Oryzias latipes: one gene and its partner. The main gene of each other region encodes a partner of the protein of the gene in region 2 in a complex. Links are inferred from orthologs where the notes say so. Each region holds a gene or a part of one and is shown on either strand. Other genes may lie near its edges.

Region 1 (4,081 bases), on a different chromosome or scaffold from region 2:
TAAATACCTATAGCTGGCTTATATGTTTATTCTAAAACTTGACTTTTTAAACTTCCTCCAGTTTATCTAAACACCAGCAAGCTGTTAAACAAGCACAAAGAAGAGGCGGAGTCGGAGGACTTCCTTTTTTTAAATTATTGCATTACACACAAAATTTACAGACATTATGTGGGTTTTTGGTTACCGGTAATTATTAAATTAGAATTAAAAATTAAACGTAAGAATTTCTTGTTAAAAGAAGGGCTTGGTATCGCAACCAAACTACTGATTTGATTTCAAATTACAAGTTCACAAAATGATTTGCATGACAAACTTTGCTTTTAAAACCACTTAAGTTTGATTATGAAAAATTTGTTCTTAGAAAAATTATCTTTCAAATTGAGCAAAAGTGGAAGTTTTATTATTAGAACTAAGATTGGTCATGTTTTTATTAACAAAAAGCAGTTTTTTTTATGCCTGAAAAAAATATCATTTAATACCGTACAAGAGAAATCTAGCATCACATTGAAAGTAAAAAATGTTTTCAATTTCAAAATAAAGTTCATGCAAGAAGGGGTTAAAGTAAAATTAATTTATTGATTTGTTAAACTGATCCTTGCTGTTTTAATCCAGCCGTAGTTGAAAGAAATCTAGCATAGTTAAATGCTTTAGAAAGACAAAAAATTGTAAAATCCTTAAGTGTGTGTGTTTGGGTGTGTGTGAGTTTTACCACAGATTGAGTTGATTCTTGCTGTAGGTCTGAAACTATCCACAAAGTCTGATATTAAACTGCCCAAAATCTAAAAATCAAACACAGAAAACCCCAAAAATCAAAGACATGTTTCAAAGAATTGAAGATGTTAGGGATGTACATTTACACACTCGTGTAATTATTCACATACCCAATGTGAGAGCTGGCCTTCTGGGTACAGTTTTCTTATTTCTGTTACAGCAAAGTATGCTGGGAGGAGGCAGGCGTTTCTGTCCAAAATGTACTCCACCACCTGAAAAATGGGCAGAAACGACTATCTGAGAATTACGGTTTGTGTCAAGACAAATAAAAAACTGGATCTGAATTACAGAATTCAAGAAAACGGGAATGATCTGTACCTCCCTGGCGGCCAGCAGCTGCTGGAGTATAGCTGAGCTGACAGTAATGGGGACGGTCTGAATTTTATCCAGAACACCTTTCAACAGATCGCGTACACCCTAAGGAAAATATAGAGCAGATTTTAAAAACAAAACTAAATTCTTTTAAAGTCCATTAATGTCTTTCAAGCTTAAAGGAGATTTATTTTTAGTGCGTCAAACACCTTGTAGTCCACCCCTCCGATTATTTTGCGGATGAGCTTGAAGGTTAAAGCCCATAACTGTGTTCTTTCCCACTCCAAGCTGTCTGAGCTAATGAGAGCTACACACACCATCCTGAAAGCAAATGAATTCATCAAAGGAATGAGTCACACAATTTCAAGCCTCACAATGAATAAGCAAACAAGCTAATACTGTCATTTTCAAAAAGTGGTCAAAGCAGAAATGCACTTTGAATTAGAATCTGCAGAAATGAATAAAAAATAATGTGTTTAATAGTGAAAATATAAGGAAGAGGAAACACTCAGCTTCAAAAAACTTTATATGGAGCTTTTATCTTTTCATAAATTGCATAAATGAATGTAAAGAATGTGGGCAGACTATGATAAATGAGTGTATGCACCTGGGAGGCAACAGACTAGTCTCCACAGCCATTGCAAGACAATCATACAAGAAGGAGATCCTTTTGGGACTGCGCTGAGTGTGTATGAAGCGCACAATCCACTGAACACACTGCTCGTGAGAATCCTGAAGAGGAAAAAAAAGAATAAATATACAGAATATGATGTATCTTTGTGTATAAATGTTTAAGATATTAAAAAAAATAAGTTTAAAAACCTGTGGCAGAGTTCCCCAGTACTGTCTGAAGGCTCCCAGACAACTGATGAGTTTAGTTCTTTCATCCTCTGGAGTGTCCATGAACATCCTGAAACCCGAAAATGCCAGCTTCACTTTTTTAGTTTAGGAATAAGAACCATTTGTTGTCAATCCAACACAATGTTTAGGGGTGAAATATGTTTTAGGAGCAGAAAATAAATTAAACAAACTACAGATTTCTATTCTTTTTTTTTAAAATCAGAACTAAAAGTCAAAGCATTTTGACCTTTTTTCAACATGTTTATTACTCATTATGAATAAAAGTTAGTAACAAGCTTACCCAGCAAAAGCTTCTTCTATTGTCTCAGTTTTCTGAAAGATTGAGAAGAAGAAAATATGATTTATGATGTTAAAAGAGATCAAAATTCAAAATACAAACAACCAAAAATAAAATTTTCCTATTGACAGCAGTCAAAGGAAGAAAATAGCCTTTGCTTCAAAAATACCTAAACAAAGACTCATTCATTTTGAGGATAAGTGCCTTGTTAACAAAAGCATCACCACTGACAACAGATTATAATCCAAACCTGATACATTTGTTTGTTAACAAGTGTTATTCACGTGTAATTTAATTTGTGTATTTTAATGCAGGTTATCTACAAAAAAAAGATAGTTCGCAAAAATACTAACAACAATAAAAACAAGCATCATCAATGCTAACAGATCCTCTGTCGTGGATCCATTTTTGTTATAAGGTGCAATTTACCACGACATCTTCAAAGATGCTCTGCAACTGAGACTCCATCGAAAGCGCCATATCGATCATTCAGAGTGAAATCTGACCAAAAGTCACTACGCTTTGTTGCAAACAGAGCTCCAAACAAACGGCATGCTAATGTCTTTGGAGAACGAAGCGCCACTTCGTGTGCAACTGAAAAGTGATCCGGGTGAACACTTGAAACACACACTAAATAGTTCCGCTACGCTCTAACTTTATGTCCACCTACTAAAAGTCATGTTAATTCAGCGCCATAAACAGTCGCGGCGGGCAACACCGAGAACTTTGGTCTCTTGTTAAAAAAGAAAAAAAAAACTTATGCTGAAGATCAGATAAACTATCTGTTTCAAGAAACGGGGATTCTTTATTTTCAAATACACGCACTGCTTGTAGCCCACAAACTATTAAGGGCACTGATCAAAACATTACTCTACTGTTTTAACTCTCAACCACTTAATAAACTTTCTTGTTTATTCGAAATCAGTGACAACAGTTAGTTTGCAAATTATCCCAGTAATGTGACATAATTTAGATGAAAAGTCAATGGGTGTTTCAAAATCATTGGCTGTGGTAAACTAAAATAAAAAAATGACGAGGTCGTGACCATCCCACATTAATTGCACCTGCTCAGGTGTCGTGCGCGCGGACAGGTACAGCCACATTCCTTTCTCAAACACGGAATTAACGCGTCGTTGAAAGGGGATTTTTTTTGCAGAGCGCTCCCATTCATTGAGCGCATTCTTACCTCTACTTCCTTTTTTCCACTTTTAGTTTAACAGATTTTTTATTTTACTTTCTTTTTAGTTGAGAGGCAACCCGATTTCTTCAATGCGCGTGAAAAGTCACTGGTCCACGGCAGGTGGAGGGACTGCGCAGCTTGATTCTCCTTAAAAATAAACTAACCCCCGCGCGCAAGGATGTGGACAGCCTTCGTGCTAATGAACCTCTTGGGTCTTACCTGCACAGGTAAGAATTTGTTGACATGTTATTGTGTGTTAAAAGAAATCCTCGCGCGCTGGATGAGAAAATTGGTCAAATGTGTCCAAAAGGAGAAATCCGATCTAATTTTCCCAAGGCTTTCTGTCATTTCATATTGACTATCTCCTTTTTCTCAATAAAAAATAAAAAAGCAAAATGATCAATTAACAGACTTTTTTTTAAACATATAGGTTACTTTTAACAGCTATTAAAGAATTATTTAAATCTTTGATTTTTTTTTAAAGACAACAAGTTTATAAACGTGTGTGATCTGGTTGTAAATGTAATAATTTTAAACCTTATTTAACAGTTCAAGATAACAAAAATAATCAACTTTATAAAAAACATAGATGGTTTTTTTCCATAATGTTTACCTTTCTAGATGAGTTTGCTGTTAATTGATCAATAACAAATCAAAAACGTCTATCATTATTAACTAAA
Region 2 (3,650 bases):
TTTAACTTGAAAGCTGCGTCATATTGTAGTGGCGGTCACGTGCTGTGGGTCTGAGAGTCACCAAAGGATTGTGGGATGCGGTTGAGCATGGGTGCTTCTTTTATTGCACCATGACTTAAGTGTCTAACAACTGAAGTGAGGTCCATGCTGTTTGGCTGCCTGAGTGTGTGTTAAAGCAATCGCGCTTTTTGCTGGACATAGAACTTTGCAGGCAGTCTCCCCTCCGAGTCTGCCGGAGCGCTTCAGGCGGCCGAGAAATAAAAGCATAAATTAGCCGCATCATTAAATAAGCCGCAGGGTCGAAAGTTGGTGACAAATATAGCAGCTTATAGTCCGGAAAATACGGTCAAATGAAAACAAAAAGAACAGAACAGTATAATGAACTCAATGTAGTGTCAAAATTCTAAACTGAAAGATAAAATGGCTCAAAACAACAGACCTTTAACAGGAACATTGGCCATTTTAAGTCCCCTTACTAAACTTCAAATATGTCACAGTTTGACCATTGACTGGAGAGGAGGCCTGGACCGAGTGAGTGTGATGTCACCCAAAGAAAACGACCTGTTTGGTTCCAAATGAAGTCAATTCGATCACAATCTTTTGGCATCAGTCGCCGCCGTGTTGGAACCAGACAGCGTCAGTAAGTACCGTATCTTTCACACCGAGAGGCGCACTTCATTTTAGTTTTTTCATAAAAGGACAGGGCGCCTCATATATGAATTCATTCTGATGGTGTTTACTGATGTTCATTCTGATGTTTTTGAGAAGTAAACAGCACTCTGTCAAAATGTCAGTCTTTTTTTTTGGGTGTTATTGTTAATATGCTAACATGGCCAACATGTAGAGGTGTCAGACTGTGGTTTTCTGACGAGTTACTAACCAGGCTGGAAGTTGCAGGAATCTTGAATACCTAAACGTGGCTAATGTGTTGCGTCTTAATAAAAATAATTAGAATGACTGTGAACACAGTTAAGGAAGTCAGACTGATTTCGTTCAGTGCGCCTGATAAACGACAGGATTTCCAAAACAGACCAATAATTGACTGTGCGCCTTATAATCCGATGCGCCCTAAAAGTGATTGGTCGGTCAGAGTGATTGTTTCCATGGCAACTGCTCTCACCAATCAGGAGTGGGCTTGTTAGAAAGCCACACCCTTACCATTTGAAAGCGGGCTCGGGATAATCTGTCAAACGTTTGATGTGATAAAATACTTTTGAGGCATCTGATTGGTCAGTTTATCACTTCAATAACTTAAACTACAGAACTAAATATTTTTAGACAAGGGGGTTAGCAAGAACATGTTAAAAAGGTATCAGAGAATCAGGAATTGTTATTCTGACCAATAGAATGACTGAGTACTAGCTGTTTATTAAATTTAATTTTTTTTAAGATTACAATGACACTAATTTCCATTAATAAGACTTTTTTTAGGCCAAACTCCAACATTGAATCCATTTATCCTCAATGTTTAGTAAAAGGCAAAACGAAGGTTTTGGTTGCGACTGCCTCACCCATCAAACACTTGTGCCGTCTGCTCCGGGTTGAGGATGAGGCAGGTGTGGTATCTCCTCAGCACAGCCACTATGCACAGACACAAGCTGGTGGTGTAGCTGCCAACGAGGCTGGACGACTTCAGCAGCAGCTCAGCTTCCACCAGACTCAACTCATTCAGCAGCTGGGACAGAAAAGAAAGAGCTTAGTGAGAAAATACAAGACCTGAGAAAAATCCCATTTACCCTGAATAACCAAACTGCTGTGTTTACCTGGATAGCAAAGTCTATGAGGCCACTAATGTTGAGGGAGTACTCCATGAGGTCAAAGATGAACTGAATGTGCTGGACGAGGGGCAGGTGATAGGACATCCCCAAGGCAAAGCTGTTGATCTGCTCCAACACATTTCTGGACACCTGCAGACACGCACAGACATAAGACCACTATTCTGGGAGTGTGTCAACTCCATCGTTTAGCCTCGACAACAGCAGTGGAGTCAAACTGCTCTAAAGCGTCACACAGTTACAATTGTGTGTTTGGGGCGATAACTGCAGAAACAAATACAGACCAGAGAAAATAAAAAAACAAAAAAGGACAATAAAATCACATTTTTGTCATCGTCGGTATACCAGCCTGTGCAATACATGCATCGCTGAAGACAGCGTAAACTACAATAAATGGTCGCCTTAAATGTTTACACAGATGCTAATACAAACTCATGGCAGCTTGAAATATCTAACGAATCAAATGGAGCCGTTTATGCCGCTGACCAATCAAATGCAGCCCTCATTTCATTCATTCATTCATAATCTACATAGTGTTAGTAGAGTTTGTCACAGATTTGCGGCTCCTGAAGCCTGATCTGTTCAAAGATGATAAAGCAACATTACTTTTGCTTTGATCAAATATATATATATTTTTGTAGTTTCAAAGCATTTTATGGCTGTTATTAAACCTGTGCTGTTACATAAGAGCATCTGTTCTCTGCTTTACAGTTTGCACAAAAAAACAAAAAAAATGATATCATCATGTTATTACTACCTTTTTTTTTAATATTTAGGATTGAAATAATGGATTTTCTGAAGTGAGATTTCTGTTCTGACCTGAGAGGTGACCTGGTGCTGGTCAAAATGGGAAAGGTGCTGAAATTTGGAGAATAAATCCTCTGCAGTGGGAAAAGCCTCTGGCTTGCTCCTCTTCCTCTTTTGTCCTTCTTCACCTCCTGCACATATGGACAGAGGTGATGAGGTTAAAACGGGAAGCAACAACCCTAAAGGTCTGCCCTCTGCTTGAAGTCGGCTGACTACGTCCCCCTTCACACGTCCTTTCCTCTCCAAATAAAACTCCACTACAAAAGAGATACATTAAAGCGTTTCTCATTTAAGAAAAAAACTAATGATGTTATTCTGAACTGTGAATAATCTGTCATGAAGAGAGTTCTGTAATAGAAAACCTAAACCCACAGTCCTCATTTCTGAAATCGTGTGAAAAGATGAAAGTAATTTACAAACTCAAACACATGGAGGGAATTTAAATGGAAGATAATCAGTAGATACTTCAGGACCCCAGACATTGTATCCAAGATGAATCCTAATGTACCAAGCCTGTGCTGGAGGAACTGTGGATCAGCGGTGCCCAACCATACACATGTTTTCTGGACTTGCCCCTAAACTGCAAATCTTTGGGATGAGGTGTACAGAGCTATAAAACAGATATTTCAAGTCGATATACCAAGAGATTTGATGGTAGCGCTCCTTGGTATCATCCCAGCACAGATACGAGGGAAGACAGAATCATACCTTCTAAATGTACTTTTTACAGCAGCATTAAAATGCATTACAATTAGATGGATGAAAACAGAGCCACCCACCCTAGATATCTGGATTCAGAAAGTAAGAGAACTCTTTCAAATGGAAAGAATAACTTTCCTATTAAGACATAAAATGCAAAACTTTAATGTATGATGGGGCCCAGCAAAATCATTGATACCGTCATCAGCTTGATAATACCTCTAGCTAGTCAAATGCTGTCATGTTTAGATTTTATATTTCTGTTTAAGGTGAAGAGTCTTATGGTAATTCAACTTCCTGTGTGTATCCTCCTTTGAAAGTACCCACTGGATTAAGGTTGATTATTGTGGAAACCATGGAGACAACCGT

Evidence for each region. The genes of interacting proteins can lie anywhere in the genome.
Region 1: med12 (region 2) and med23 share a complex: the UniProt entries of both Homo sapiens proteins name them as parts of the mediator complex. The link is inferred for Oryzias latipes from reciprocal best matches to the Homo sapiens genes MED12 and MED23.

Annotation. Positions count from the first base shown.
Region 1 is NC_019882.2:15,918,991-15,923,071, forward strand, and holds the start of med23 (mediator of RNA polymerase II transcription subunit 23), read right to left. Parts: upstream 2,835-4,081; 5' UTR 2,711-2,834; coding exon 2,651-2,710; intron 2,257-2,650; coding exon 2,225-2,256; intron 1,994-2,224; coding exon 1,906-1,993; intron 1,816-1,905; coding exon 1,691-1,815; intron 1,405-1,690; coding exon 1,293-1,404; intron 1,189-1,292; coding exon 1,090-1,188; intron 984-1,089; coding exon 882-983; intron 780-881; coding exon 710-779; intron 1-709. Other genes in the region: interleukin-20 receptor subunit alpha, read left to right, coding at 3,580-3,628. UniProt on the Homo sapiens protein: Required for transcriptional activation subsequent to the assembly of the pre-initiation complex. Component of the Mediator complex, a coactivator involved in the regulated transcription of nearly all RNA polymerase II-dependent genes.
Region 2 is NC_019868.2:8,256,235-8,259,884, reverse strand, and holds part of med12 (mediator of RNA polymerase II transcription subunit 12), read right to left. Parts: intron 2,714-3,650; coding exon 2,595-2,713; intron 1,908-2,594; coding exon 1,764-1,907; intron 1,676-1,763; coding exon 1,512-1,675; intron 1-1,511. UniProt on the Homo sapiens protein: Component of the Mediator complex, a coactivator involved in the regulated transcription of nearly all RNA polymerase II-dependent genes.